Linked DNA regions of Rhinolophus ferrumequinum. The protein of the gene in region 1 interacts with the protein of each later gene in a pairwise test. Links are inferred from orthologs where the notes say so. Each region holds a gene or a part of one and is shown on either strand. Other genes may lie near its edges.

Region 1 (6,829 bases):
AACATATAAGAAAATTTTAGATCATTCTATTTTTCTCAACTTTGATAACCTCCATGCTATATTGGAGACTTACTGACCCTACAATTTCTTTTTCTTTTTTTTTCTTTTTCAAAAAATGTTTAATAGAATGCCAACTTACTGATCTGATATAATTTGATTTTATATTTTCGTATATAGATGTCAAAAGTCATTTTATTCTTGTATTATATAAATTAAATTATGTTGATTACAAAATTACCATAAGATTCTTTGTTATTAATAAATCATACATATAATAAAAATGTTTGATGTTCCTTTAAATGACATTTTTAATAGTGCTGGTACATCAGCAACACAATATCATGTTCTGGAAAACTAAAATGACACAAGGAGATTGATTGTAGTCTATGGATTTCAATTCAGTATGAACCGTGCTTCTCTTCTGTTTTTAATGAAATTGTATCTACAGAAATAAACTTGGCAAAATTAGAGCAGGAAATCAAAGGGAGTTGGGCAAAACTGGCATTTTACTCCTCTTCTAAGCCATATATGTCCTTTAAAAATTTTAAATAGTCAATGTATTTCATAGAAATAGGTGATGGCATCCCGACCAACACATCATCTCTCTCTTTCAAGGGTGATTTTGCTATCTGTGTGGGCATTATATTTATTCTCCAGTTCAGGGCACAGAAAAATGACTCATAATTGATTTGTTCATCACTGTTTTCAAACTTGGACAGTAAGGATTCTAAAAGATCATTACTCAAAGGCAACCTGAAGGACTTGCATAGCCTTTTGATGTCTTTGCTGGGTAATACTTTTTTTCTCTCTCGATCTTGGTATACAGAGCTACAAATGAGTCTTTCAAAGTTCTCAAAAGAATTTTTCTTGAGCTGTTCATGGGCCATTGCAATTAGGACATTCACATCTGGACAAGGGTCATCAGGCACCCTGTAGTGACGTGCAATGGTTACAAATTCTTGTTCTGTGAGGTTCCCAGCAGCTATGGTCATCACTATGTCTCTGAATGTATTACAATCCATCTTCTTCGTGAGCCCAGAGTCAGCAGCCCTAAACACCTGCCTGACGTCTCCGGATTTTGATATTTTTTCTTTCAGCTTTTCTAGAACAAGTTCAAGGTTGCTCAAAGGAAACTTGTCTGAATTCTCCTCCATGAATTTTAAGGTGTACTCATCAGCACTGAACACAACAAACAGGTGGCCATTCACATTCACTTTGGCTCCAATATACAGATCCTCGGCTTTGATATATTCTGATAGTTCACTTTTGAAGACTTCTTGTCCAGGCTTCTCAACACGCATTCTTTTCAAGAACTTCCGGAAATTAAAAACGGAATTCCTCTCTGTGGGTTCAAACACTGAAATTGTGTCATCACTGAGAAAATAAGATATAATAAACAGTCTGCCCTCATTGGCACATGGTTTTGTGATAAGTTTTGCTAAGAAACGGAGTATACCGCTTGTGTTGCCATAGCTATCTTTTTCCATGAATTTCCCGACATTCCTCAGATGAAGACAAGGTTTGGGCACGAGGCCTATACAAGAGCACAGAGAATCCTCTTCAGAACCAAAGCCCGTATAAGGTGGAAATTTCCTTTCTATTTTTGGAAGAAGTGGAGCCTTGAATGAAATCGGCGTAAAGTTCTCAATTCCATATTTATTCTTATAATAAGTCTTCGTGAATTCATCACAGTCACAAAGGACCACTTTCCTTCCCCACACATTGATGGTGGTTCCTAAGGACAGGTCACTATCTTTGTAAAACTCTTGCTCTGATTTTCCCAGCTTGTATTTATCCAACACGTAGCCATTCACTTGTTTCACTGCCAAGCCACCATACACATTGAGAACAACCTGATTTGTTACCTCGCCTGGTTGATAGAGTCCAGGGGGGCCATACTTGGGCAGCTTTCTCCTCTGGAGGAAAAATGGCAGAGCATCCCGGCCTGAGTTGTGTGCTAGCAATTCTATGATTTCAATAGTATCATCAGACAGAAAGTAGTGCAAGACGAGTTCTCTACGGTCCCCAAATAATGAGGCGGAATCATCCCACAGGCAGAAGAAACGCAATACCTTCCTGTCATACTGGAGGAACTGTTTCAGGGTGTCGGAGGATTCCTGGGGCTGTAAGCGCTTTACGCAGTCTAGCTTCTTTCTCCATATCTTCATGGAAGGATCTTCCGGACACTGTCCTGGGGGGTTTAATTTGACTCCTATTTTCTTCAAAAAGTTTTTTGTGAATGCATCACAGTCGTAAATCTTGAATGTTCGGCCATAAAAGACAATGTCTATGTTGACATTGAAATGATGGACCGTATAAAACTGAGCATCCTCCGGAGGTGGGAGAGAAATCCGATGACGCCTGATGAAAGTCCCTTGAGGCATTCCGCTGTTTCTCACCTCTGGTTCGTTTACCTGAATTGTGTCATCTTCGAGATAGAAGAGGATTTTATAGTATCTGATGCCATAGTTTTCTTGACTTGTATCACGCACTTTATCTTCTACATAGGCATCGAAAGATAATACCTGTTTGTCAAAAGCTACCCAGGCCGGTGCGTCACTTCCCACTTCTTTAGTAAATACACTGTATTTGTGCTTCATCTTTTGGCCGAGAAGCGGTTCTCCGCCTATTCCAGGTTTACTTTCACCCACCAGCATGCTAACATTGTTGCAAAAGCCCCAGTGTTGAGATTTGTGGAACTTCGTCTTTCCCACGTTGCGGCTGAAGCTGTAGCCGGGCAGGAGTGGCAGGGCCATGGTTCTGAGCTTCCAAGAGTCAAGGATCCTGGAGGAAAGGGGCCCGCAGGTAGCAGCTGCTTTGCGACCGCAATGTTGAAGCCCCCACTCTCAACGCGTTTCCTAGATACAGGAGGTGGCGTCACAGAAGAGTGACCCCATAATTTCTTTGACGATTCAGAATCCTCTCTATGGAAATAAAGTTGATGTCGTAGACACTTGAAATGTCCCACTTAGCGGTCCTCTGTGTAACTGAACTTTCGGCATATGAAATATCCTCCATATTTAGCAGCAATACAGGCTACATAGTAAGACATTAATCATAACCATTTTTAAACACATATTACATTTTTCATCGCAGTGTATATATTTCCTTTGATATCAAAGGAAATTAAATTACAAAATCATTATAAAAATGGCAACTCTGCATAGATATTCCCCAAAATTTCAATGTATCTTGTGTTTGTTCTGCTACCGTAGAGAAAATGGTATCATAACATTTCCCCAACATTGTACAGTAGGCATTTTTTGCTCTTCTACTTTCAGAGATACAATCGAGGTTCAGAGAGTACACGCTAATATTATAACCACTTGGGTTTAAATTTTGTCAGTTAATAGTGGTGCTATGGACTGAACTGTGTCTCCCCCAAATTCATATGTTGAGGTCCTAACCTGCGATGTGACTGTATTTGGACATAGGGCTCTAAGATGATCAAGAAAGTAATTAAATGTGGTCATGGGGTGGGGGAGGGCTGATCCTATAGGATTCGTATTCTTATTAGAAGAGACACCAGAGCGCTAGTACATTCTCTCTCTCTCTCTCTCTTTCTCTCTCTCTTTCTCTCTCTCTCTCCAACATCCCCCACCCATCCACCCAGGTAGGACAAAAAAAAGGAGAAGGTGTACGTCTGCTGCATGATGGAAGGGAGCTCTCATCAGAAACCATCGATGCTGGTACCTTGGCCTTGGCCTTCTAATATTCAGAACTGTGAGAAAATAAATTTCTGTTGCTTAAACCACTCCATCTATGGTATTTTGTTATAGTACCCTGAGCAGACTAATACAAGCAGTATGGCTTTCAACAAGTTGCTTTAACATTTCTGTGCCTCAATTTCCACAACTGTAAAAAGTGTGACAAGTGTACTTACATTTTATGAGTCATAGTCAGGTTTACTTGAGAGGTTGGTAAAAGCACATACTTTCATCTATGAGATGAAAAGGTCTGAGGATCTGATATAGAGCACAATAACTATAGTTCATGAGAAATGTGTTATATAATTGAAATTTGCTAAGAGAGTAGAATTTAAATGTTCTCTCTCACACACACACATAAGATAGATAGATAGATAGATAGATAGATAGATAGATAGATAGATAGATAGATAGACAGATAGATAGATAATCAATAGATAAAGTGACAGATGTGTGAATTAGATGAGGGGAATCTTTTTACAGTACACTTACATATCAAATCACCATGATGTACCCTTTAAATATCTTACAAATGTGTATGTCAATTACATCTCAGGAAAGCTGAAATTTTAAAACAAAGATAAAAAAGAGAACCTGAATATGACGGAATGATTTAAATTCAGTAGTAAGTAGCTTTTGTTTCCATATCATTTATAGAGCAATGTTGTCAGTAAGTCAGCAAAAAATAATTGACATCATCGAAAAGCCTCAGTTCAATTAAGATCTGAGATATACCAAAAAACATTGTCTCCGTTATTTTCTTATTCAGAAGTAATATCTTTAAAATGAAGATAATTGAATCTAGAGAGAAAATATTAATTTTTTTGTTGTTGAAATGAAGAGTTGTGGTCACCTTCAGTTTAAAGTATGGATTTATGTCAAAATTAACTATTTTATGTTTTTAATATATTCATTGGACATTTTTAAATGGGTAAAAATGTAACATCTGAAAGAAACAACTTATAATATTTCAACAGTGTTGTTTTTATCTGAAGAATCCCTCTTTCATGCTAAGAATGCCTATGTTCTATTTTTAATTTGATGAACCCTGTTTATAACTTTAGGGTTTTTTTCGACTGAATGCATCAGACTCCCCTAAATGATCTTCATGCCGTCATTAACTTAGATGTGAGATTATGACTTTAAAAAATCAGAAAATTCAGGTTTCTTTTGGAGTTTACAGGTGAACCTACTTGTTGTACAAAAGGTAAGACTAAAGACACCGAGGATTTTCCTTAAATCATGGAGCCCATGTAAAGACTGGGCTAAGACTAGAATTGAAGTATTCTGATCCAAGAACAATCTTTCAGTCCCATTGGCCTTTAATATTTAATTCTTACAGTTAGGTACATGATAAATTTTATCTAGTCCCAAAAGATAATAGGCTGTTATAAATTCAATATTCCAATTAATGCAGAATTTTCGTAAGTTATAGGGAATTATATTTTTAAAGCTTTAGAATAGTTTTAATCACTCTGCAGTAATGAAAATATTTTGTATTTGTTCTGCCCAGTATAGTAACCAAAACCCATCTGTGGCTATTGAGCACTTGCACTGTCTAGTGTAACTAAGAAAATTAATTTTTAATTTAATTTTACCTAAATTAAGCTAGTGGCTACAGTCGTGTACAGTTCAGTTTTAGAATAAAATTAGAAGTGCAGACTAAATTATCTTGAATAGTTGTACTTCATGGACATTATTGTAAAATTGATAATTGGTATTTATAATAATATGATATTTAGGAATATCATCTTCATGTTTCAATAAGCCCATATGCTCATCTCTATATGACTGTATAGAGATCGATATAGCTATGTACACCAGACACCTAATGCAAATGATGGTTCTGCACTTGCATGGAAAGATACTAAGATAATTAGTTAAATGAACTCGCTGTTTTATTTATTTCAAGAATGTTGAGAATGTTGTTTAGAGTATCATCTTTATGAAAATCCATGGAATAAGTTTTTCATAGGATATGATACTAGGAAAAGACATGAAATGAATAATTTATTTTACATCTCTCCTCTGTCTTTGCTGATAGGAATCTTAATCCAAATGTTCAGCTCATCTTTTAAAACTGAGTAGTCTTCGATAACATAAGTAATAAATGTACCAAATTTACTGCTTTGAATTGGGTTTTATTATTCTTATTTTCATCTTGCTTGGCTTTATCTATTTATTCCTCTTTTTATAAATTCCATTTTATATCAAGATACACACATTCATTTACATATATTTTATATACTGTGTAAAAGAATATATAATAATGGCCAACAAGTATAGAGTTCTTAATTTCATTAATAATTGGAAAAATCCATTTTAAAACCATAATGAGCTACCACTAAACATCTAAAAGATGGTGGATATTAAATAAACATCCCCCTCACACACACACACACACACACACACACAACCACCACCACCACCACCACCAAGGGACCAACGATTGGTTATATAGAATAAGAAGAACTGAAATTTTCATACACTGCTGGTAGAAGTATAAATTTGTAAAACAGCTTCAGAAAACTCTTCAGAAAAATGATTTTCTAAACTAAAGCTGAACATATGAATAGCTATGACTCAATAAATCCGCTCTGATATATAAACCCAGCAGAAATGCTACATGTGTGCACCAAAAGGCATGTACAAAATGTCCATTGCTCTACTATCCATAACAGCCACCAAACAGTGACCACTACATGTTCAACAATAGCAGTTGATAAATAAATTAAGGTTTATTCATACAATTGATGCTACACAGCAAGGAAACATTGAAATAATAGTACTGAATCTCGAAAACATACTGTTGAGTGAATAAAGTTAGAAATAAAAAACACATTGTTTATGAGTCCATTTATACGAAGTTCAAAATACCCAGTTAACCTTTGGTGTTAAAGTCAGGTTATGGTTACTTTGAGGGGAAGAGAGGACTTTGACAGGGTGCAAGTGAGAGAGACTTTGGGGTGCTTATATGTTTTTTTGATTTGGGAGGTGATTAGATAGTGTGCCTCATTGGTGGAATTCATAGAGATGTATGCTTAGGATTTCTACAATCTTTTGTCTGTATGTGATAACATGAAATATGTAAACAAATTTACCTTAAAATTCTGTTATATCAC
Region 2 (7,925 bases), about 47 Mb from region 1:
TAGTGAAAGCTTTCTTTCTGTATATTTGTAAAGAATATGACAAAGAAATGAACAGCACTAGTTTTATCAGTAGTCCCCATTATCTTCTTCATGTGCAAAAGCATCACACAGACTGGGAAATATCTAAGGAAGTCCATCACTCTAATGTATCAAGAACTCAAAAACAATAAATTACTGGTCATTTAACAAATAATGAGACTATGATAACAAACTTTTGTGGTTCTAAAAAACAATTGTTTTTTTGGCATTTGGGTGAAAACTGTTCCATTTTATTTCAAAAAATACACTGTTAAATTTTATTTGCAGTCATTTTTCATCTCTTCTCAAAGAAATAACAATCCTCATTTTTATTGTAGCCATTACAGAACTCCGCATTATGCCATTTAAAGGAGATTATGTGTAGGATACTTACTGAACTCTAAATGCTCACAAAAATTATGTATTTTTTGCAGAAAAAAATTGGAAGATTGTGTATACGATACAATTACAACTAACTCCTGAATGTAAATTAGACCATTTTATTAAACTACCAAATCCCAGTTTCAGAAAGACTTATGAAATATATTTATTCTAAAAATCTGCGTTGGTTTAAATTACTCCTAAAATTATTTAGCATGCAATATTTTTTACATTTTTAAGGCAATACATAGCACACTCAACAAGAACCTATACATGTATTATCTCAATCATTTATTGGAGCAAATTGGGGAAAGAACATTAGAAAGAATATTGATTGTTTTGTTTTGTGCTTGGGAAAAAATGAAGCATTAGTGAAGTGATGGTGTACATGAACTCACAAGTTTTAGTCAAGCCATTCATGGAATACACTGCTGTATAATTAGTATTTCTACGAGTTTGGTAACAATAAAACACTACCCAAAATAGGCACCTACTAAATAAACAAGAACAAGATCTCAAACAGTCATATAACTCAAAATTTTTTTAAAGATGGAGGATGTCTTTGCTGTATCAAATACATAAATAACCGAAGCACAAAGGGGACGGAATGCACTTTTAGAATGAATTCAGAATCCTAAATGTATTTTAATAATGCACATGCCTAGTGCTCACTGAATTAAAGAGAAATAGTAATAATTTGTTTCTGTGGAGTATGAGTATCTACATAATAAATATTATCTAAATATGCTCTATGGACCCTTTAGGAGAGGTGTGAGTCCAATTTTGAGTCGAATGCCCATTCGTCATGGATACCCGGTTTAAAGTGGTGAGATAATCTCTAAAGAACCATTGCAAAGCTGCCATCATAGGTTAAAAATACATTCCCAACGCTCTGAATGTCTTAGAGGGAAAAGAACTTCCCAAGGTCACTCCAGCAGGCCATAATGGAGCCTGAAATAAAAGCGTTTTGGTGCGATGAGCAGTCCTCCTAGGTCACCCAAAGGCACACACCTGGACAGTTTCTATTCCAAAATAAAGGGATCAAGGTGACTCACTTTTCCATGATCTCTCTGGCACCCAGCAGCATGGACAGGATGAAAACTAAAGACCAATTTCCTGGGTCAAGATGAAAGGCACTTCAGCATTCAGCGTAACCTGCTCTCTCTACCACACACAACACACATGAGAACCACGCAGAAGAAAACCACCACTAAGAAACAAACAGTAAGTGTAATACCACCCGGACCCCGGGGGACTTAGTGCCGGCCTTCCCTTATTTCAATTTAACCAGATCCGGCACTCTTTCCCTAATTAAGAGACCCGAAGAAGCGGTCCCAAAGTGGGGCCAAACTTTCTGTTCAGTGTCTTTTCTTTCTTTTGACCAGAACTCGGACATCTCTCCCAAGCCCTAGACAGAAAACAGTATTCAAAATGGGGCTAAACAGAAAATAACCCTCACTTTCAGCCGAATCAAACCAGGTGCCCGGCCACAGGGGCTTTGGTTACTCAAAGTCAAGTTACACTACTTAAAGACGTCTCCCCACGCACGAAGATGCAACCAGAAATATTCCAGTCTCTAATTAAATGGCCCTGCCCGAAACCCAGTCCCTGCCGACTTGCCTCCACACGCACAAACTAACTTCCTAGGGCGGTGCAGAGACGCCTGGACCCGAAGACTTCGCGAGCAAGGGGCAGAGAGGGAAGGACGCAGCCGGAGATCCTGCCAGGCGCGGGAAAGCCGCGCGTGGAGACGCCACGCACTGCTCCCGCATGTGGGGTCTGCGCTCCGCCCTCGGACCCCTGCACCAGGCGCTCGGCCTCAGGCCCAACCTGCTGCCCCGCCTCCGCCCCGCACCTGCCTCCTACCTGTCTGAGGATGAAGCTGGTCGAAGTGGTACTGCCATCGGATCTTTTCAACCTGCTCCTTCGGGTCGTGGTGCCTCGGGCCACCTGGACTCGACACACGGGGCCAGAGAGAAGCGGGTAAGGACCGCAGCGTGGAGTCGGGCGACCACCCCAGGCTAGAGTCCGCCCCTGGACCAGCGCCCCGGGGTCCCCCGGAGCCCGCACCCAAGTGTCCTCCGTGGTCCCCAGATCCAGCCCCCACCCCCACCCACCCACCCATTCCACGCCTGCACCGCTGAAAAGATGCCCGAGAGGTGCGGCCGGCGAGCACCCACCACATCCATTAACAAAGACTCTCAGGGCGCGGGGTCCGAGTCCCCGGCATCCGCTGGGGCAGGCTGCGGGCTCCGGAGCGGGAGCGCAGAGAACCGACCAGGTGAAGGGGAGGAGGAGAAGGAGGGGAGGAGGACGAGAAAGAGGAGGAGCGGGAGGAGGAAGGGCCGCGGAGGAGGGTGGGAGAGAGAGGCCGCTCACTCCCAGGACTGGGGGGCCCGCGCGCCCCGCACGAAGGCGGGGCCCTGCCGGGCAGCGGAGGCCGGGGGGGGGGGGGCGGAGGGGGCGGTACCTGCGCGGTGGGCGAGGGCGGCCCGTCGGCGGCTCCGTTCCTGGCGTAGGAGGAGGACATGGCTCACAGCTGCATGGCCAGCCCGAGCGCGATGGGCGGAGGGCCGACGGGCCCCCGGAGGCTCGGAAGCGGGGGGCGGGGGGGCAGGACTTCCCCACCCGCTGCAGGACCGCGCCAGCTCCCAGCTCCCGGCCCGCACTTCTGGGAGCGCGACACCTTAAAGGGACAGACGCGCTGCCCCCGCGCCCGCAGCGGGGTCCCGGCAGCGGCCCCCGCAGGGGAAGTTCCGGCGGTGGGACTTCTCGGGATGTCGCCCACCCGAGCGATGAGGAGAGCGCTCTCCCACCTAGCGAGCGCCTTACATCAGAGCTTTCCAGAGGATGAAGGGAGGGGGAAATCTGTGGTGGGGGTGGGAGGATTAAAATAGTCTGCACAGTTTAAAATGAGACAAAGGTGGCACGGTTCATGAATCAGGACTTGGGCAGGGACGCTGGTGCCATGTGGCAAGGAGTGGGAAGAACCGACCGGTGTGTGTGTGTGTGTGTGTGTGTGTGTGTGTGTGTGTTTGCTGCACTGGAATTTTAAAAGGGCAAGAGCCGTACCTTCCTTCTGCGACTTCACTTATCAGCCCACTGTGGTAGGGGATGGGGTTTTGTGGTTTGTTTATTGTCCGTGTTTTTATATTGTTTTGCCAACTCTCTTCTCAGAACTGGGAGCCATAGACACCCGGGCAGCTTCGGAGACCCTGCCAACCTGAGTCTGCCCGGAGATACTGCCCCCCAGGAGAGTAGCTTGTCCTAAGGAGTTTTGAAGGTCATGTTAGACCTGCTAAAAAGCAAGAGTTGGCCACGTGCTTCCCATTTCTGCGCGGATAGCTGTTTTCAAGGGAGGAGAGTCATCCAAGAAACCACATACAAGCTTTGCCGTTGTTGCAAGCCTGGGTTTCCTCCTCCAAATACATACAAGAGATTAATTTGAGATCAAGCGAATTGTGGAGAGGAGGAATTTGAAGAAATAAGAAGAGGGAAGAAAAATACATGCGAATTGGAAAATAAAAAGACCCCGTTCAAGTATAGTTACTGCATGAGAAATCCATCTTTAAAATATGCATAGTATCTTAAATCGCTAAATCAGCCCAAATCACCTTGCATTCTAGGATTTCTTTTTTTATATATATAGAAACTGCCATGTTTGTTTTATAAATTGGTTTGCCTTATTGAAGTCCTGATTATATCTTACCATTCACAAGATACTTATTTCCATTCCTTCTCCCTTCACTTTATCCAGACTTCATTTCTTTTTAATAGTCTAATAACTAGTCTCCTTGCAGCCAGGCTACTTACTGCAAACACATGCACGCGCGCGCGCTCGCGCACACACACACACACTCTCTCTCTCTCTCTCACACGCACACACACACACACACTTTTCATTCCATCTACACACTTAAGGCAAAGCCATTTTCCTACAATCTCTGCCCAAGGCACCCTTCTCTAAAAAGCACTCATTGCTCTCAGCAGCCCACGAGATAGGGATCAAACTTCATGGCCCAACAAGAAAGCGCTCCTCTACCCTGCTTTTCTGGTCACCACCTCATTTCTCCAACTTGATCTCTCCATACAGACCTTTCAGCAAGCAGGTAGGTGTGCACATTATTGCTTCAGTATACCAAATACAATCCCACTTCAGCACCTCTGCCTTGGAATGCGCCCTCCCCCAACACACATGCACGCGCGCGCGCACACACACACACACACACATACACACACAGCTGAATCCTACTTGTCCTCCAAATCTGGCTGAGCTCACTCTTCTTCCACAGAAATCCTTCCTGACCACTCCAGTCCTGGATCATTTCTCGTGTTCCTGAAAAACTGGAGCATTTATTCTCTAGGCATTTAGTCTAGGCTGCCTTGGTTTATTAATGCTCTTTTTGTGAAAATCTCCTAGTTTCTGAAATAGATTTTCAGCTTTTTATCTTCTATTCTTCTACCTTACATATGTAAGTAGATACTCTATAACGTGTGTGGGTAATGGTGTGTCTGCCAATGCAGAACTCCCTGCTTTGGTTACCATTAAATCAATCCATTTTTAGTTCTGAGCCATTTTCATAGTTGACTCCTAATATATAGAGAATGGATTATTATGTAGGCATCGAAATTTGAGTTTTCTGGTTTTCCACTGCCCATAGTCTCACTGACTTTGAATTCTCAAAAAGAATCTATAGCAGTATGACAGTGAGGACCTCTCTGCACCTACCCCACAGCAAAACTGGTGAAAATTATTATTTTTAAAATCATTTAAATCTCTGAAAGTGGTCCTACGGGTAACATAGCAAAGGAATAAGCATTTATTCAAGGAAATTCACTAAAGTTCAGTAAGAAAAGTGAGTCTGTGATATTTGAAACAAGACCTGCTTCCTCATTCCTTGCTTCCAGAGTCAGCTCAGCAAGAGGGGAATTCCACTCCACACTGGTGCAGACTTGAACATGGGGCTCCATCTCTCCTCAGCTCCCAGTATGAGGGTTATCTTCCTGGGAGGAACAGGACATCAGCATTAGGGTTTCCGGGTGGGAATTCCCGCCCATTCTCAGGAATTTTTTTCGCTTTCCCGTTTCCGAATCCTGAGAAAAGTTGGTCGGGAAATCAGGAAAATCGGTTCCTTGAACCCAGTAATACCCACAATGGGAAATAAACATACTAGTCACAATGTATCTCCTATACATTTTTCCTATTTATCGCTATCTAAAGTTACATTGTGTTACAATGTTACATGCCACCAGACATGCACACTTGACAACAGCATCAGATATCAAATGACCAGCTAGTTTTAGCGCTTGTAAATCGAGCACATTTATTTGATCATGGGGAACAGACAACAGTTTGTATTTACACAGAAAAATATTTATTTTCACAACCCAGGATTTGACTACAAAGTCATCTTCAGGTGAACTAAAGAAATCTAAGGCAGTTTACCTTGATATGACATTTTTGTCAAATCCTGGGTTGTGAAAATAATTATTTCTCTGTGTAAATATAAACTGTTTTCTGTTCTCCACGATGAATCGTTTCCACAAAGTGATGGCTGATACTACCAACCACCTGGGTTCAAGGAACCAATTTTCCCAATTTCCCGACCAACTTTTCTCAGATTTCGGGAATGGGAAAGCAAAAAACATTCATTGGAACGGGTGGGAATTCCCACCCGGAAACCCTAATCAGCATTTCTCATTTTGCCCCCAGGTCCCCATTACTGAAGGTTAGGTGCCATCAAATACAGCAGAGAGGTGGAGGCTCCATTCCTTAGCCCAGCCCCCACTTGTGAGATGGAGGCTGTACTGTGGGCACAGCACCCCTGAGAATACGGGGGTCACGACTGCTCCTAGAGAGGCACGCCAGGAGACCTGGGACTGCTGTCCCTTCCTGTCAAGCACTCTGCTCCGAAACTGGGGGTGTCACTCAGAGAGGGGCACCACTGTCCCCCCAGCACAGAAACTCAAAGAATCAACTTGGACCCTTACCTCATACCACATACAAAAATTAACTCAAAATGGGCCAAAAACCTAAATGCATGAGCTAAAACGGTAAAACTATTAGAAGAAAACCTAGGGTAAATCTTCATGATGACAGATTGGCAATGAATTCTTAGATATGACACCAAAAGCACAAGCAACGAAAGGAAAAATAAACAAAATGGACTTCGTCAAAATTTTAAAACTTTTGTACTTCAAATGGCACTATCAAGAAAGTAAAAACACAACCTGCAGAATGAGAGAAAATATTTGCCAAGTATGTATCTGATAAGGGACTCCTAGCTACAATATATATAAAGAAATCTTGCAACTCAGTCATAAAAAGGCAACGCAATTTTAAAATTGGGCAAAGAATATGAATAAACATTTGTCCAAAAAATACACAAATGGCCAATAAGCACATGAAAAAGATGGTTGATATCATCAGTTGTCAAAGGAATGCAAATCAAAACCACAATGAGATGCCACATTACACCAACCTGAATAGCAATAATCAAAAAGTCAGATAATAGCAAGTGTTGGTAAGGATACAGAGAAATTGGAACTGTGATACACTGCTGATGGGATTTTTAAACGGCGCAGCCACTGTGGAGAACATTGTGGCATTTCCTCAAAAAAGTTAAACATAGAGTTACAATATGACCCAGCAATTTCACTCCTAGGTATATAGCCAAGGTAAATGAAAGCATATGTCCATGCAAAAACCTGTACAAGAATGCTCATAGCAATATTTATAGTAGCCCAAAGTGGAAGCAACCCAAATGTCCATCAACTGATGAACGGATAAATAAAATGTGGTATATCTCTACAATGGAATGTCCTTCTGCATTAAAAAGGAATGAGGTACTGATTGATACATGCTACAACTTGGATGAGCCTTGAAAATATGCTAAGTGAAAGAAATTAATCACAAAGGTCATACATTGTGACCTTTGATTCCGTTTTATGAAATGACTCCATTTACATGAAATGCCCAGAATAGGGAAATCTGTAGAGACTGAAAATAGATTAGTGGTTGCTTATTGGTGGGGAGGCTGGGGTATTGAGGTGCTTGCTAAAGGTAGAGGGCTTCTTTTTGAGGTGAAGAAAATGTTCTAAAATTAATTGTAGTGATGGTTGCACATACCTGTGAACGTAGTCAAATCACTGAATTGTACGCTTCAAATGGATGAATTGTATGGTATACGAATTATCTCAATAAAGCTGTTATTTTTTAAAAAACTCTTCAGACCTTATCAAAATTAACTCAAAATGGATTATAGAGCCTAGTGTAAAATACAAAAGTATAAAACTTCTAGAAGAAAACAGAGGAGGAAATCGACAGCACTTTGGGTTTGGTGATTAGGTTTTAGATAAATACCACCACCAAAAGCATGATCTAAGAAAGTAAAAATTGGTATGTTGAGCTTTATTAAAATTAAAAACTTCTGCTCTGTGAAAAACTCTGTTAAGGGAATGAAAAGACAAGTCACAGACTGGGAGAAAATATTTGCAAGACACAAATCTGATAAAGAACTTGTGAA
Region 3 (7,083 bases), on another chromosome or scaffold:
AGGACTTTATTGTCTCACAGTCCTGGAGGCCAAAAGTCTGTGATCAAGGTGTCACCAGGGCCACACTGGCTCCAAAGGCTCCAGGGGAGGATACTTCTTTGTCTCTTCCAGCTTCTGGTGGCCCCAGGCATTCCTTGGTTTATGACTGTATCATTCTAACCTCTGCCTCCATCTTCTCTGTCTGCCTCAAACCTCTCTCTGTCTTTCTCTTAGAAGGACACCAGTCATTGGATTTAGGGCCTTAAATCCAGGCTGATCTCATTTAGAGATCCTTCACGGAATTACATCTGCAAAGACCCTTTTTGCAAATAAGTCACATTGACAAGTTCTGGGTGGACATCTTTTCAGGGACAGCATTCAAGATAGTACAGACTGCCCAAGAGGTTTAGGTGTCCTACGGATCAGAATTAAATCACATCAGATGAACAGTGCTCGCATTCTCTGGATGCCTCAGGGATATCTTGGTCTGGTGCTAGCACATCTTTATCACGTTGCCAGAGTGTCGGTTGCGTGTGCCTCCAGACAGAGTGACTGCTGGTATGGTTTTCAGTCACTCTCTTTGTACAAAAGATCATGCTGGTTCTTTCAGCAGCAATGTAGTCTGCATATTATGATGTAAGCAGAACAGACACATAGCAGAAGACAAAGGGTAGAACGTGAGCGCAATGCTGAATTTCACAGTGACCCTACTGATAGATGTCATTGTTCCCATTTGATGGAGGGGAAACTGAGACTCAGAGAGATACAATGATGACTCAGACCTGGTTTCAGAGAGAACACAGGAAAGCCGGAATCTGAACCCAGGTCCATCTCAATTTTCTCACAGCCTATACTATCCCAGCAAGGAAGCACACACAATTCTGGTGGTGGGCCAAATAAGGCTCCCCAGAGAGATCCACGCCAGTCCTTGGGACCTGTAAATAGCTCACATTACATCACAAGAGGGACTCTGCTGATGTGATCAAGGTTATGAACGCTAAAATGGGGAGAATGTGCTGGTTATCTGGCCGGGTCCAGTCCAATCGCAGAAGGCCTTAAAACAGAAACTAGGCAGAAGGGAAACTCGAGACTCCAAGTATGAGAACCCCGTGCCTAGTTCTGAGATGAGGGGGCCACATGCGAGGTTGAGAACTGAAGAGAAGCCTCTAGGAGCGAAGCGTGGCACAAGGTGGAGAGCCCAAAATCTGAACGAGTTTGGAAGCAGATTCTTTCCCAGAACCTCCAGAAAAGACACAGCCCAGCTGACCCCTTGATTTTAGCCTGCTGAGAACCATGTTGGACTTCTGACCTATAGGAACCGTGAGACAATAAATTTGTGTTGTCTTAACCTGCTTGTGATAAAGTTGTTAATGCAGCAACAGAAAAATTAATACAATCGTGCAAATGTTATCTCAACAAATCCTAACAGCTTCCTGAAATCTGTTTGAGGTTGTCTATATTATACAATGATGCTCCGAAGGCCAGAAGCATGGAGAGCAAGCCTTCTTTACTGCAGAGTCTACATTCCTCCCAACCTTCTGGCTGCCTCTATGAAGACATGTCACTCCCTTGCTTGGTGCTCTGATGGCCTCCAAAGCCCTGCTGTTCCCCCAAGGCCCTGCCCACCTCATTCTCAGTCCCCCGTTTCACCACCTCCCCACTTCTGTTACACAGGCCTCTTATGCCTTGACTACCCTGAGCTCATACTTGTCTCAGCACCTTTGCAGCAACTTATGGGGTTAGATGCTTCTCAAGGTTCAGTGTCAAGTTCAAATGAGTCAGAGAGGCTTGATGAGACCACTCCCATGTGAAGCAGCAACCCCTCCCTCCCAATTTCCAACTCAGCACTTTTTATCTCCCCACGCCCACACACAGTGCTCAAGTTCAAGTTGTAATTACATATTCACTCACTTCTTTACTCATTTATTCTCTTTGGAACACTAGGCGGTGAAGGCAGGTAAACACCCTGCCATGTTCACTGCTCTTAAAAATTCTCCAATGGTTCATTCTCAAAGTGACAGTAACAGCCACGTCCCTTCCTCAAAGGTCCTGCTAATGGCTCCTGCTGCCCCCTCTCCAGTCACCGGCTCCTCGCTGGCGTGTTTATTTTCTAGTTCTCAAACAGCCAAGCTCATTCCCACCATGCTCCATCACACCACCTCCCGACTTGTTTATTTACTCATTTATGTACTTGCTTAATGTCTGTCTCCCTGGCAAGGCTGAGATTCCCGCAAGAGAGCTGGGAGTTGTCTATTTTATCACAGCTTTGAACCCAGCACCAATACGCTGACTCATACAGATGAATGAATGAATGAATGTGCGAGTTTGGGGAGAAACGATCCGGCTAGTGGGGCAAGGTAACGTCGGGGAAACCATTTATCTTGAGCGTCGGTATTCTCATCTGTAAAATGAGGATAAACAGTCCCTACTTAACGGGAATTGAAGGTATAGCGGCACAATGTGGGCGCTCAACAAGTGAGAATTATTACCATTATTATTACCAAAGTGGTGGCATAAATGCCTCTTATTCAAATGCCTGCCAGCGCGCAGAGCGAGCACTCTGAGAAGTATAAACTGCTACTTCTTTGGGTGTTGTCACGGAACAAGGATTAACTCCTCACTGCTTCTGAAGATATGAGTGGGGGAGTGGGGTACGCCGCGAGGGGAAGAGAGTTTTCAAAATCAGAGCGCTACCCGCGGCCATCAGGAAGCGTCCTCCGCCCCCAGCGTCCCGCAACCCGAAGCGGCCGCACCTTCACCCGCTGCGCCTCGTTGATGCACTGCTGGTAGCTGCCGATGTAGAAGGCGTTCTTCACGTCGAACAGCTCGTCCACATCCCCTGAGCCGCCAGGGGTCGGGCCCGGGGCCGGAGGCGCCATGTCACTGTGGTCTCACTCACTCCTCTTCCTGAGGGACACGTCGGCCGGAAGCAGGGCGCCCCCGCGGGACACACTGGGAAATGTAGTTTACTTGGCCTGGAGATGAGCTAATGGAAGTCTCCGAAACGGGAGTAAAGGGGCGGAAGACGCAAGTGCGTCTTGCAGAGCATTTCGGGAATTGTAGTTTGATTCGATCCTGCGGGCCACTGGGATTCACCGAAACGGTAAGAAAAAGATCGAGGCTGGAAATGGAAGAGAAAGCTAACGAGGGTGAGACCACGCTGGAGGCGGGTCCAATCAACGGGAGAGTTTAGTGACGTCATCGGCACGCGCCGGAAGCGCGGCTCACACGGGTTCTGCGGCCGGCGGCGAGGATGGCTGGGTTTGCGGAGCTTGGACTGTCTTCGTGGCTCGTGGAACAATGTCGGCAGCTAGGTTTGAAGCAGCCCACGCCCGTGCAACTCGGCTGCATCCCCGCCATCCTGGAAGGTGAGTGTGGCCCGGTCTCCTCCCCGGGAGGCGTGCCCGCTCCTGTCGCCTCCCTTCCCTTTAACCCACGCTGGTCCTGCGAGGCGAGGGGCAGCCTCGGGCGTTTCGGGGATCCTGGGTTGAGGCACACTAGGCGGTTTTAGCGTTTAGGTTGCGCAACTGACTCGCTGTGTATCCCCGCCAAGTTATGTAGCCTCTGAACTCTCATAGTCTCAAGAGTTCGGGTGTGGGGGGGGGGCGGTGTTGGTGAATGACTAACCGATAATACTGGTAAAGTTGAGTAATTTGTACTACTGTCTTCATTTTACAAATGCAAAGTGAAGTTGTCAAGATTACTGGTAGATCCAGGACTCTGGTCCTGTGACTTCTGTTCTCACTCATCTGGCCCAACCCAGTTTTGCCATTGCAGAGATGTCCTCACAAAGCCTAGGATGTAGCAAGTTGAGGGATTAAACAAAGGTGAAAGAATCCACAGGGAGCATGAGATGCAGACTGGGGGAATTCCCCCAGATTCCCCCAAGTTCATGCTGGGGGCAGGGTTGTCAACATTAAGTGGTGGTTGGTAGCATCTTGGGTCAGATGGATGTGGGTTCTAATCCAGCCTGCTACTCATCAACTATGTTCCTGGGCAAATCTCTGAGTCTCAGTTCCACCTTCTATGAAATGGAAATGATAATGGCCTCTTTCTCCCAGAATTTATCAGTTGCCCACAATGGGAAGTTGTTAGTATGCCCGGAATGGGAGTACCCGGCACACAGTTAACTGCTCATTAAATGTTAGCTGTTGTAAACTGTGCTCAATGGAACATCGTATATACCTAAACTGTGTTGATGTCGCTTGCCCTCTGCCCAGGTCGGGACTGCCTGGGTTGTGCCAAGACCGGCAGTGGCAAGACGGCAGCATTTGTGCTGCCCATCTTACAGAAGCTGTCTGAGGATCCCTATGGCATCTTCTGCCTTGTCCTGACACCCACCAGGTGAGCCCCACCCCCCACAGGCCTCCTGGGTGAGTTAACCAGCTGTGTTATCTTGGGCAAATGCCTTTACCTCTCTGAGCTGCACTTTCCCTGTGTGCAAAATGGGGACAGAAATCATGCCTCCTCTTAGGTGTGCTACAGAATTAAACAAGGTAGCATGTGAAAATGCTGAGCACAGGGCTTGACTCAGGGCAAGAGGCAATACAGGAGCTGTCAATAGTCTTATAGCTCAAAAACCAGGCATATCTTCGGATCCTGGGCGGATAGACTCGGTGATTGACGTAGGTCCTCTCTAATGGCATTCTATAAGGCTGTGGTCTGGGAACGGGTGTGGTCAAGGAACGCTTCAGTCATGGGTGCTTAAAGGATGAGAAGCGTCTCATCCTAAAGGGACAAGTTTGGGGAAAGGTAATCTAGGCAGAGGTCTGCTGGTGCATTCATATGCAGAGGTGTGAGTGGCAGAGAACAGAAGGGGTACTGGGGCTGGGCACGTTAGAGCCAGCTTGAGAAGGGCCTTGAATGCCAGGTTAGAATTGATTCTGAGGGAGTGTGAGCAGGAGAGAGTAAGACAGGAGGCTGGGAAGTGGGGACATGGGCCGAGGAGGGACTTGGACACTGACTGGCCCCAGGGAAGGGGGCACTAATGCTCGGGGTTCAGGCTTTGGTAACTGGTGTCAAGGCCATTGCTGAGGACATGGGAGGAGGAGAAGCCAGTTTGGGTGGGACTGGTGGGGGTGGGGCCGTGGGCTGTTCTGGGACCCAGTCTGGTGAGGGAGCAGAGCCCACACAGCCCTCCAGTGCTCAGTGTCAGAGATTTTGTCTAAAGCGGACCGGGAGCTGTGCAGGGTGTATGAACAGGAGCCGGCGAGTCAGGAGGCCGCGGCGGTGGAGGTGGAAATGTGAGGCAGGCGCGGAACCCGTCTGACCCAGCCCGGCTCCTTCACACCCACAGGGAGCTGGCCTACCAGATCGCAGAGCAGTTCCGAGTCCTGGGGAAGCCTCTGGGCCTGAAGGACTGCATCATCGTTGGCGGCATGGGTACGCGGGCCCCAGGGAGGCTCTGAGTGTGGGGTCCCCGCAGCCTCGGACCACCCGCCCAGCCCCACCTCTTGCCATCTACCTGCAGACATGGTGGCCCAGGCCCTGGAGCTGTCCCGGAAACCACACGTGGTCATCGCCACGCCGGGGCGCCTGGCTGACCACCTCCGCAGCTCTAACACCTTCAGTATCAAGAAGATCCGCTTCCTGGTAAATTGCCCTGGCCACTGATTCATCCATTTGGGGAACATATGTCCCACAGGCCGTCGTAGTAGCATGTTAGGAACATAACAGAGACAGGGTCAGAGACCCATAAGAGGTGACCTGTACTAGCGAGAGTGGTTGGAAGCAGGGCGTCTCTGAGGAGGCGGCATTGGAGCTGAGACAGGTGAGGGAGCAGGGCCTGCAAAACACTGAGGGAGAGTGCTCCCAGGCCCACGGCCAAGGCTGGGAAGGAGGCCCACGGGGGAAGCAGGCCAGCCTTGGACAGCGCCCTCCTCCCCATCCCCCGGCTGCCGGTGCTGCAGGTGATGGATGAGGCTGACCGCCTGCTGGAGCAGGGCTGCACTGACTTTACAGTGGATCTGGAGGCCATCCTGGCAGCCGTGCCGGCCCGCAGGCAGACACTGCTCTTCAGTGCCACTCTTACCGACACACTCAAGGAGCTGCAGGGCCTGGCCACCAACCAGCCCTTCTTCTGGGAGGCTCAGGCCCCGTGAGTCTACAGCCACCTTTGGTGGGGGAAGGCAGGCAGCAGGAGGGGGGGGCGGGGGGGGCGTCACACCCAGTGGAAGTTATTGCCCATGGGTGGGGCAGGGGATTAGCCAAATTCATCAGAAGGGGAAACAGGCCTGCCCGTCCCCAGAGTACGCACTGTAGAACAGCTGGACCAGCGCTACTTGCTGGTGCCTGAGAAGGTCAAGGACGCCTACCTGGTCCACCTGATCCAGAACTTCCAGGATGAGCACGAGGACTGGTCCATCATCATCTTCACTAACACGTGCAAGTGAGTGAGGGTGGGCCCCCCCATTTGCCCCCCGAGCGAGGGTTGGCTCCCCCATAACCCTTCACAGAAGCCTAAGATGTGGCCTGAGGTCATGGGTGGGAGGCATGCAGCACTCCAGGGCCTGTGCTCAGACCAGAGGTTTTGGAGGATTTGCTCAAGAATGCTCACAGAGATCAAGCAGCTCACCAAGGTTACCCCTCCTAAAGGTGGCACCAGGATTTCGGGTTCCTCAGACCCGCCTTAACCTGAAGGGCTTGTGGCCTTGAGCTGTCACTACCCTTGGAACAGCCTATCCACTGTTGTCTAGGGTTGTCACTGAGGCCCAGTGCAGTGGCACCCCCACCTGGGGTCGTCCTCCCCGTGGTCCCAGGGGACTTGACAGTCCTCTGAAGCATAGAGGGAGATTTCAAGAAGCTGTAGACTGTTCTAGCATGAACCAGTAGATGGGGACGCCACACCAAGAATGTAGATGGGCACTGCCCCCTAAGAATGTATTGGCTACCAACACAGATGGGCCCTGGATGTAGGGCTAACTCTTGTTTGCTTAGGCCAGGGGAGGAATCAGAGAGAGGACGGCAGTGGACAGGACACCCTGCACCTCTGCTTGTTCTTTCCCAGCTGTGCAGGGCCACCTGCATGGGTCCCGGGCAGGGGCGGGGGCAAGAGTGCTTTTCCAGGATCCTGGTGCTGGAGGGACTGAGAGTGTGTCCTTCCTG
Region 4 (7,752 bases), on another chromosome or scaffold:
TCAGGGATAGAGTGGACGTGGGAATCACAGGCACAGGCAGAGGACACACACCTACTGCGACCCTTCAGCACCTGGAAGTTGGAGGGGCCTCGGAGATAGGTAGAGCAGAGGTGGACAGGGGACAGAAGAGCTGTAGATGCAGTGGTCCCCAGACTGGGAGATGGAGGTGGGAGACACCATGTCCAGTCCTGGGGTGGGGGAGTGCTGGGTGCCACATGCCTCCCTGAGCCTGGCCTGCCTGCTGTCTACCAGGCCCAGCTCTCCTTCAACACGGACACGCTCTGCTGACCGCCAGGAGCTGGCTCAACAACACGGCTGAGGGACAGAAGTCAGGCAGTGGCCCAGGCCCCACCTGTTTCCCCAGTGCCATCTGCGGGGCCCTGGAGTGGGAGGTCCAGGACCAAGGGCTCCAGCCCCTCCAGCCCCCAACCCGTCCTCAGCCCTGCCCGTGGCCACTGTGCCACCCTCCCCTCATTGTGCCAAAGGCTGGCCTGGCCCTGGGCTATGACACCCTCACCCTGCTCTGCCTTAAAGCCTTGGGGCGAGAGCCCCTCGCCTCTGCCCCTGCCCAGCTCTGCCCACCACCCACAGGGCCACTGGGGTGACACGGGATTTTAGGTACCACTCGCCCCTCTCCTGGCCGGGCCTGGGCCTGGCTTCCGGAACCGGCTTTTCTCTTACATCCAATTTGGAAGTTGGTATCGCATGCCTGGGGCTGAGTGTGGGTGTGTTAGGTCCCACCTGCAGGCACCTATTTGTTTTGCTATAGGAAGAGGCTTCCTTAGCCTGGTTTCATGCTGGGAGCTCATCACTGAGGGGCTGCCACAGGGCAGCAGGCTGGGTAGCAGGAGTGGAGAAGCCGGCCACGCTGGCCAGGCCAAGGTCCAGACCCCTCCCCACCCCCTTCAGCTGCCACTGCTCTCCCACCCAACTTGGCACCCTGCCTGCCCGCCCATCCAGGAGCCGTACCTGTACATAACGCACAGATGTTTGTTTTAAATAAATAAACAAAAAGTCCACGTAGGCCTGCGTGTGTGGGGTAGAGTGTTGGGATGCAGATGGCCCCTGCCCTGCAGGCTTGCCTGCAGTTTCCTGGAGTCGTGGGCTCAGCATGGGAGCAGGGCAGTGGGGTCAGCCTGGAGGAGGGGTGGGCTTCTCATGCCTCTAATGCCCTGTTGCTGCAGGTGGGGAGACTGAGGGAGGGGCCATCCGTCACTCCCTCTGCACCTCCCAGCCTGGACTCCCTGTGCTCAGGGCACCAATGGACAATTGGGTTTTCATGGTGAGGGCCTGGGGGCAGGTCCTGAGTGGGCTTTGCTGTGTCAGTGTTGTCCTATGTGCTCTGCTGCTTTCTCCAGGGGCCTGGTGCCCATGCAGGGCCAGTGGGTGGTGTGTGCGGGGCTGTCTGCATCTCATCTAGGCCGTGGGAGGGCTTCTTGGAGGAGGTGATCTCTAGGTTGAGACCCAAGTCCAGGCAAGACTGCGTACAAAGTTTGGAGGAGCGGTGAAGGCTCCCAGGGCCTGGGGGTTCCATGGTGATGGAGCCTGGAGACAGGGTGGTCAGAAGGAAGGGTCCCAGAGCCCAGCCCCCTGAGCTTGGCCATAGTCAGTCGCCCACCTTAGACCACTTCAAGGGGACTGGAAGGGACACAGAACACCCCTGAGGAAGTTGGAGGGTCATATGGCCAGCTTACACCCCAAACGTTTTTACCTCGGTGGGGGCTGCAAAATGGCGATTTTCTACTCTATTTTCCCCCTGCATTTATTAGCTGTCATTTTCTCTCACAACAATCTCCTCTGCTTTTAGAAATAGTCATTGTTGACTCATGGGTTTCAAAAAACCTGTTCTCATTCATTATTGTCATCTTTCAATTTTTTTTTATTGTGGTAAAATACACAAAATACCGGGGATGCCAAAAAAATGTGTACAAGTGAACACTTTGGTCAATGTTGCTCAAGCAGTTGTTCGCCGTCATCAGAAGTGTCTGGACGCTGATGGGAACCACTTTGAGGACCTCTTGTAATTGCAGAAGTCAAACGTGACTTGTATTCATCTTTTGTTATCGGTATATATTCAGTATTACAATTTTAATACAGTTTTTCTTAAAATATGCATACATTTTTTGGCACCCTCTGTAATTATTGTTTCAAACATTTGTGAATGTATAGCTCTAGTATCACTCTTACACTCAGATGGCCCCAGATTTGGCCAGTGGCAGCCCCTCGACAGTGGCTTCTGTGTCCCTTTGCCTAGTCCCAGACGTGTTTTAGGGCAGTCTCTTACTTTGTGGTACAATTCCCAGGCCAGCTTGGAACTGCCACCCATGTCTGGATCCAGCCTTTCTCCAGGGCGGTGGGTGTGCTCACTGCGTCTCGGCCCCCTGGCGGCAGAGCTAGGAAGCACCTGCACACGTTCCTGGGGAGACCCCTGTGCTACCCCACTGTCTCCTTTGAGCACAGAGCCTTTAAGATGGTGCTGGGAAGGGCCCACAGAGGGGGCTCAGGACTGGAGTTTCTAACATCGGTGAGGCCCCCCATCTGTCACTTCAGAGACACCTCCAGGGCTGCGCCGTGGATGTGGCAGGAGAGCATAGAGACATCCATGGCCTGGGTAGGTCGTTGGACCAATCACGGCTGGTGACCATGAGTTTCTGGTCTTACTTTTTAAAAACAATTGACGATGGCAAGTTGGCAGAAGATGCAAACGGTGCTGATGGAGAGGAGGTGCTAGCCAGATGTCCACGCCTCAGGTCATCCTACAGGAGGTGCCTTCCGTCCGTTCCCACGTGTCCAAGCAATGACTCGGAGTGACACATACTGATGCTTCCCGTTTTTTCCATCGACCGGGTGTTTTTCTCCCACCTGTATTTGTCTGCTAGGTGTGCCATGACAAATGACCACAAAGTGGGTAGCATAAAATAACAGACATTTCCTCTCAGTCTGGAGGCTGGGGGACCACCTGCCCCAGCTCTGTCCTATCTCACAGTGGTATCTGGCCATCTCTGGTGTCCCTTGGCTTGGAGAAGCACCACCCCGATCTCTGCCCCCATGTACACACAGTGTTTTCCCCGTGTGCATGTCTGTCCAAATCTCCTGTTTGTGAGGGTAGTCATGACCTCGTTTTAACCTAATCACGTATTTAAAGACCCCATCTCCAAATACAGCCATATTCTGAGGTGCTGGGGGGCTAGGATTTCAACATGTGAACTGGGGAGCACAATTCAGCCCATAACACCACTAAACCTCAAACCAGTGAGACACACAGGACTGTCCCATACCCAGCACACACCTGTTTATATATCCCTCGCATATTTACAAGGGTATCTCTGGGCTAATTCCCAGATGGGTGACTCATCTTGGCGGCTGCTGACACTTGGGTACCCTACATCCTTGCCACAAATATGACCACCACATGTCTTCCCGTTGCAACCATGAACTTTTTCTGGTTTGTTTCTTGCAAACCAGTGAGGTGAAACCCACTCACGCATTTGGCTGGCGTTTATTTCCTTTACTCTGAACCACCTGTTCACTGTCTAGTTCACCGTTTTTCTTACAGATACATAAGGGTATTTTTATACACATAGAAACTCACGCAGGACATCTGGCGAGCATGCACGTGGAGGGGCCTTCTCCAAGACGCAGTTTGTGTGCAGGCAAAGCAGGAAAAGGGCCCCTAAAATCTGGCTTGTGGAATAGAGGTGGGCAGAAGGGAGGTCCAAGCCCCAGAGGGGAGCCGGGCACCAAACTCCACAGTACATCAGTATATCCAAGCCAACCGCCAGGCTCTCGGAGTGGCCTGTGCCCAGGAGCCCTGACCTCGGTGGAGTCCGGGAAGGAGAGGTCAGGCTGAGGTTCCAGCAGAGGCCCCAACCTTGGGCGAGGAGGCAAAAGCGCCGGGCTGATCCCGCTCTCGGCCACTTGGTGGCGCTAAGCCTCTGTGGGTTCCTCCCTTGGGGTGCCCCCAAGGGTGGACTGCGGGAGGTGCGGTGGGCCACCCTACGGGGGCTAGCAGGTGCACACCTGTGGGGTCGCAGGCTCCCCGACCTCCCCTGGCCTTCCAGCTGAGGGCGGGGTGGGCGGATCCTGTGGGTCAAGAGGCAGTGGCTCCAAATCCCCTCCTGGTTCTTCCTCTTAAAGGTTAAGAGGGGAAATAAAGCTGCCCTGAGCCCTCGTGGGAGGGACAGGGCTGAGGGGTCAGCTGGGCAGACGCTGGAGCCAGGCTTGTTGCCCAAGGGCAGGTCTGGAATGTGGGCCCCGCCCTGGGGTAGGGGAGCGTTGCCTGACAGAGCTCTGTTGGTGGGAGGGGACACCCCTTCTAAGTGGGCTTATCACTCTTGTAATGCCCTGGTAGGCAGATAGAGAAACTGAGGCTGGAGCCAAGCTGTTCATTTCTTCTATCCACTCCCCAGCTTTCTGGACTGGGGAGCCCTACGGATAATGGGGTGTTCACTGCAGGGAGGGCAGTGGGGTTCATGGTGGGGTGATCTGATGCGGAGCTGCCGCTCCCAGGCCCCTCTCTTCTTGCCTCCTAGTCCACTGGTCTTGGCCTCCATCTCACCGTGCCACACCCCCCATGGGGTGCTCAGGTCCCCTGCCTCAGGCAGCCAGCCCGGCCCACTCAGTTCCCCCCATAGTCACACCCTCATGCTGGGACAGTGAGCGCCACCAGCCTCGTCAGCCTGCCTACCCGCCCCTTAGGTGACTCTCGGGGCGGGCCCTGGGCGGGGGAGGGCGGGAACCCAGGGAGCCTTAAAGAGCTCCCCAGGTCTCCGCCCTTGCCACTGCAGCTCCCCACCATGGCCGAGACCGCCAAGCTCCAGCTGTTTGTCAAGGTGCCGGGGATCAGGCTGGGCTGGGGAAGGCCTTGGGGAGGGGTGCTCTGCGGGGCTCCACTTTCCAGGGTGGGCTGAGGCGTGGGTCTCCACAGCAGTCTCTGCACCCCTTCCCATGATGGGTGGGCTCAGGCAGCCCTATGGAGGCTGAGTAAAGTGGGGTTAACCTGGGGGTGAAGGGTCAATGAGTCGTCTCCAAAGGGGTTGGGGGTGGCCCTGTCCCAACTCCCAGCCTGGGCTCCTGGACCCAGTCCATCAATCCTGGAGCAAAAGCCCCCCTCCAGGGGGAGGTGACAACCAGGCGGCCAGTGGCAGATGCCCAAGTAGAGCTTGGGGGCGACACGGGAGGTGGGGTGTGTGTGGCTGGCCCAGGCAGCTCCATTGGTGCCAGATCTGTGGAGCCCAGTGTAGGGACTGCCAGCCCTTGGACCCTTCCCCACCCTCAGGGCTTGGGGCAGCTAGTGTGCTGCCAGCCTCAGTGCCCAGTCAGCCTCAGTGCCCAGTTTGCGTGTGAATCACTCAGAAAACAGCTCACTCGGCCCATCCCACCCTTGAGACCAGCCTGTGTGGCCTGGAGCCCAGGGCCCTGGCCTCTGCCCAGGGTCTGAAGATAAGGCTCAAGGGGCCAGGCCCCCGGCCCTCACCCAGCCTCCAGGCTTCCAGCAGCTCTGTGCCCCTCCCCATGTACTAGAGACCAAGTCAAGGGCTCTCACCGGCCACTTGCTGAGGCCATGCCTGACCTAGCCGGAGCCCTGGCATCGCTCCAGTCTCTTGGCAGTGGCAGACCCGGTCCCACCCAGCCTGGTGGCAGGATTCCTGGGTCTGCTCCCTGCCCTGACCTGACACCCCTCAACTCCACCCACCGTAGGCAAGTGAGGACTGTGAGAGCGTGGGACACTGCCCTTCCTGTCAGAGGCTCTTCATGATCCTGCTACTCAAGGGTGTGCCCTTCACGCTCACCACGGTGGATATGCGCAGGTGAGCCCGCGCCTGAGGGACCCCTCAGGGTCCTCTGTCCCCTCAGGCTAGCCACTTCCCCTCCCTCGTGCCCACAGGTCCCCAGATGTACTGAAGGACTTCGCCCCCGGCTCACAACTGCCCATCTTGCTGTATGATGGCGACGCCAAAACCGACACGCTGCAGATCGAGGAGTTTCTGGAGGAGACGCTGGGGCCGCCAGAGTGAGGGCCGGGCACGGCAGGAGAGGCCCCCAGGGAGGACCCCCCCAGGACAGAGCCCAGGAAGGGAGCTATGGTGCCTGCGGCGCGAGGGTCTGACACGAGTTCCTTCTCCACCCCAGATTCCCCAGCCTGGCGCCCCGCTACAGGGAGTCCACGACCGCGGGCAACGACGTCTTTCACAAGTTCTCCGCGTTCATCAAGAACCCAGTGCCCGAGCAAGATGATGGTGAGGAGGGTTGGTAGCCGCGGTGACGATGGGGGCAGTTGTGTCCCAGACTGGGTGTTCACCGAAGCCCCCTGCCCCCGCCCCAGCCCTGTACCAGCTGCTGCTGCGCGCCCTCGTCAGGCTGGACAGATATCTGCGCGCGCCCCTGGAGCACGAGCTGGCTCGGGAGCCGCAGCTGCGCGAGTCGCGCCGCCGCTTCCTGGATGGTGACCAGCTCACGCTGGCCGACTGCGGCCTGCTGCCCAAGCTGCACATCGTGGATGTGAGCGCGGGCCGGGTGCCGGAGGGTGCGGGGGTGTGTGTGGGGGGGTACGGGGCGCGCCCTCGAGGAGGCCCTGACCCCGCCCACGCCCCTTGTCCGCAGACCGTGTGCGCGCACTTCCGCCAGGCGCCCATCCCCGCGGAGCTGCGCGGCGTCCGCCGCTACCTGGACAGCGCGCTGCAGGAGAAGGAGTTCAAGTACACTTGTCCGCACAGTTCCGAGATCCTGGCGGCCTACCGGCCCGCCGTCCAACCCCGTTAGTGACCCCGCCTCTGCCATCCCCGCTCATTCGTCTGCAGCGCCATAAAGCCCTGTGCTCCAGTGAGCGTGTCCGCACATCCCAGGGACCAGAGGGCCCACGATTTTTGCCACCCTCAAACCCCGACCGTGGGACGCTCAGTTTCAGATGACAGCCCAGAATGACAGAGGCAGAGAGCCCGTTGGGCGGGGCGAGCCCATCCCCCCCACTCAACAGGGACAGCGGGGACTGGATTGGGCTCCCAAACCAGTCAGTCCAGGGCAGGGAGGCAGGATGGCCAAGGAGGGTGGGGAGCAGAGCCCTGCCTGGGCACCTCGGGGCTCCCGGCCAGTGGGCGGGGTGGCCCGCATTCCTCAGCCTTGCCCCCAGGGGGCAGACCACTCCCCCATCTCCCGCAGGACCTACTGGGTGGGGTCTGGAAGAGTGAGGTGTGTGCCCCGTGGGGTGGAACAGAGTTCCAGCCTTGGGAAACCCTGGCAGGGCCCTGAACGGCCCTCAGTTCCTGGGCTGGCCAGGCAGGAGCAGGTGGGCAGTCGGGGGAGCTTGGCAGCTCCTCCCCCAGGGAGCAAGCGCCTCATCCATCCGATTATGTCCTGTGGTCCCATGTCCAGATCGTAGGCTGAGGGGAATCCCTGATCCCTCTCCCCCAGCCATCCCCCAGGAGCCAGAACCAGGCTATGACGTCTGCCTGAGGAAGCCATTTATTTGATGGGGAGGGAGCTCAAGGTTTGTTGCCGCTGGACGGCAGGACAGGCAGGTGGACGTTGTGAGGTCTCAGGGGCTGCTCCTCGCCTCGTTCCAGCTCCCAGCAGGATCATTTTTTGCTGCACGTCAGAGATCATCAAAATCCACACCGCTGGCTGGCTTCTTACTGGGAAAGAAGAGGGGGACATCATGGAGGTGTGGAAGGAGGGACAGGGTCCAGGGCTGGACCCTGGGCACAGGAGGGCGGGGCAGTGGGTGGGCACCTCTTGAAGCCAGGGTTGATGAGG

Evidence for each region.
Region 2: the proteins of EF-hand domain-containing family member C2-like (region 1) and CACNB4 interact in binary tests that used the Homo sapiens proteins (3 or more experiments, as listed by UniProt). The two-hybrid records come from large-scale screens. The link is inferred for Rhinolophus ferrumequinum from reciprocal best matches to the Homo sapiens genes EFHC2 and CACNB4.
Region 3: the proteins of EF-hand domain-containing family member C2-like (region 1) and COPE interact in binary tests that used the Homo sapiens proteins (3 or more experiments, as listed by UniProt). The two-hybrid records come from large-scale screens. The link is inferred for Rhinolophus ferrumequinum from reciprocal best matches to the Homo sapiens genes EFHC2 and COPE.
Region 4: the proteins of EF-hand domain-containing family member C2-like (region 1) and CLIC3 interact in binary tests that used the Homo sapiens proteins (3 or more experiments, as listed by UniProt). The two-hybrid records come from large-scale screens. The link is inferred for Rhinolophus ferrumequinum from reciprocal best matches to the Homo sapiens genes EFHC2 and CLIC3.

What each region holds. Positions count from the first base shown.
Region 1 is NC_046291.1:21,738,221-21,745,049, reverse strand, and holds EF-hand domain-containing family member C2-like, read right to left. Parts: upstream 2,757-6,829; coding exon 507-2,756; downstream 1-506. UniProt on the Homo sapiens protein: Microtubule inner protein (MIP) part of the dynein-decorated doublet microtubules (DMTs) in cilia axoneme, which is required for motile cilia beating.
Region 2 is NC_046291.1:68,432,269-68,440,193, reverse strand, and holds the start of CACNB4 (voltage-dependent L-type calcium channel subunit beta-4), read right to left. Parts: upstream 3,006-7,925; 5' UTR 2,930-3,005; coding exon 2,870-2,929; intron 2,718-2,869; exon of another isoform or gene 2,589-2,717; coding exon of another isoform or gene 2,580-2,588; intron 2,350-2,579; coding exon 2,266-2,349; intron 1-2,265. UniProt on the Homo sapiens protein: The beta subunit of voltage-dependent calcium channels contributes to the function of the calcium channel by increasing peak calcium current, shifting the voltage dependencies of activation and inactivation, modulating G protein inhibition and controlling the alpha-1 subunit membrane targeting.
Region 3 is NC_046301.1:51,517,241-51,524,323, forward strand, and holds the start of COPE (coatomer subunit epsilon), read right to left. Parts: upstream 3,019-7,083; 5' UTR 2,859-3,018; coding exon 2,733-2,858; intron 1-2,732. Other genes in the region: probable ATP-dependent RNA helicase DDX49, read left to right, coding at 3,233-3,347, 4,200-4,323, 5,276-5,361, 5,450-5,571, 5,889-6,076, 6,227-6,367. UniProt on the Homo sapiens protein: The coatomer is a cytosolic protein complex that binds to dilysine motifs and reversibly associates with Golgi non-clathrin-coated vesicles, which further mediate biosynthetic protein transport from the ER, via the Golgi up to the trans Golgi network.
Region 4 is NC_046295.1:83,143,246-83,150,997, reverse strand, and holds CLIC3 (chloride intracellular channel protein 3), read left to right. Parts: upstream 1-4,735; 5' UTR 4,736-4,796; coding exon 4,797-4,832; intron 4,833-5,700; coding exon 5,701-5,810; intron 5,811-5,887; coding exon 5,888-6,013; intron 6,014-6,132; coding exon 6,133-6,239; intron 6,240-6,325; coding exon 6,326-6,501; intron 6,502-6,603; coding exon 6,604-6,762; 3' UTR 6,763-7,445; downstream 7,446-7,752. Other genes in the region: ABCA2 (ATP-binding cassette sub-family A member 2), read left to right, coding at 253-288; protein PAXX, read right to left, coding at 7,462-7,627, 7,729-7,752. UniProt on the Homo sapiens protein: In the soluble state, catalyzes glutaredoxin-like thiol disulfide exchange reactions with reduced glutathione as electron donor.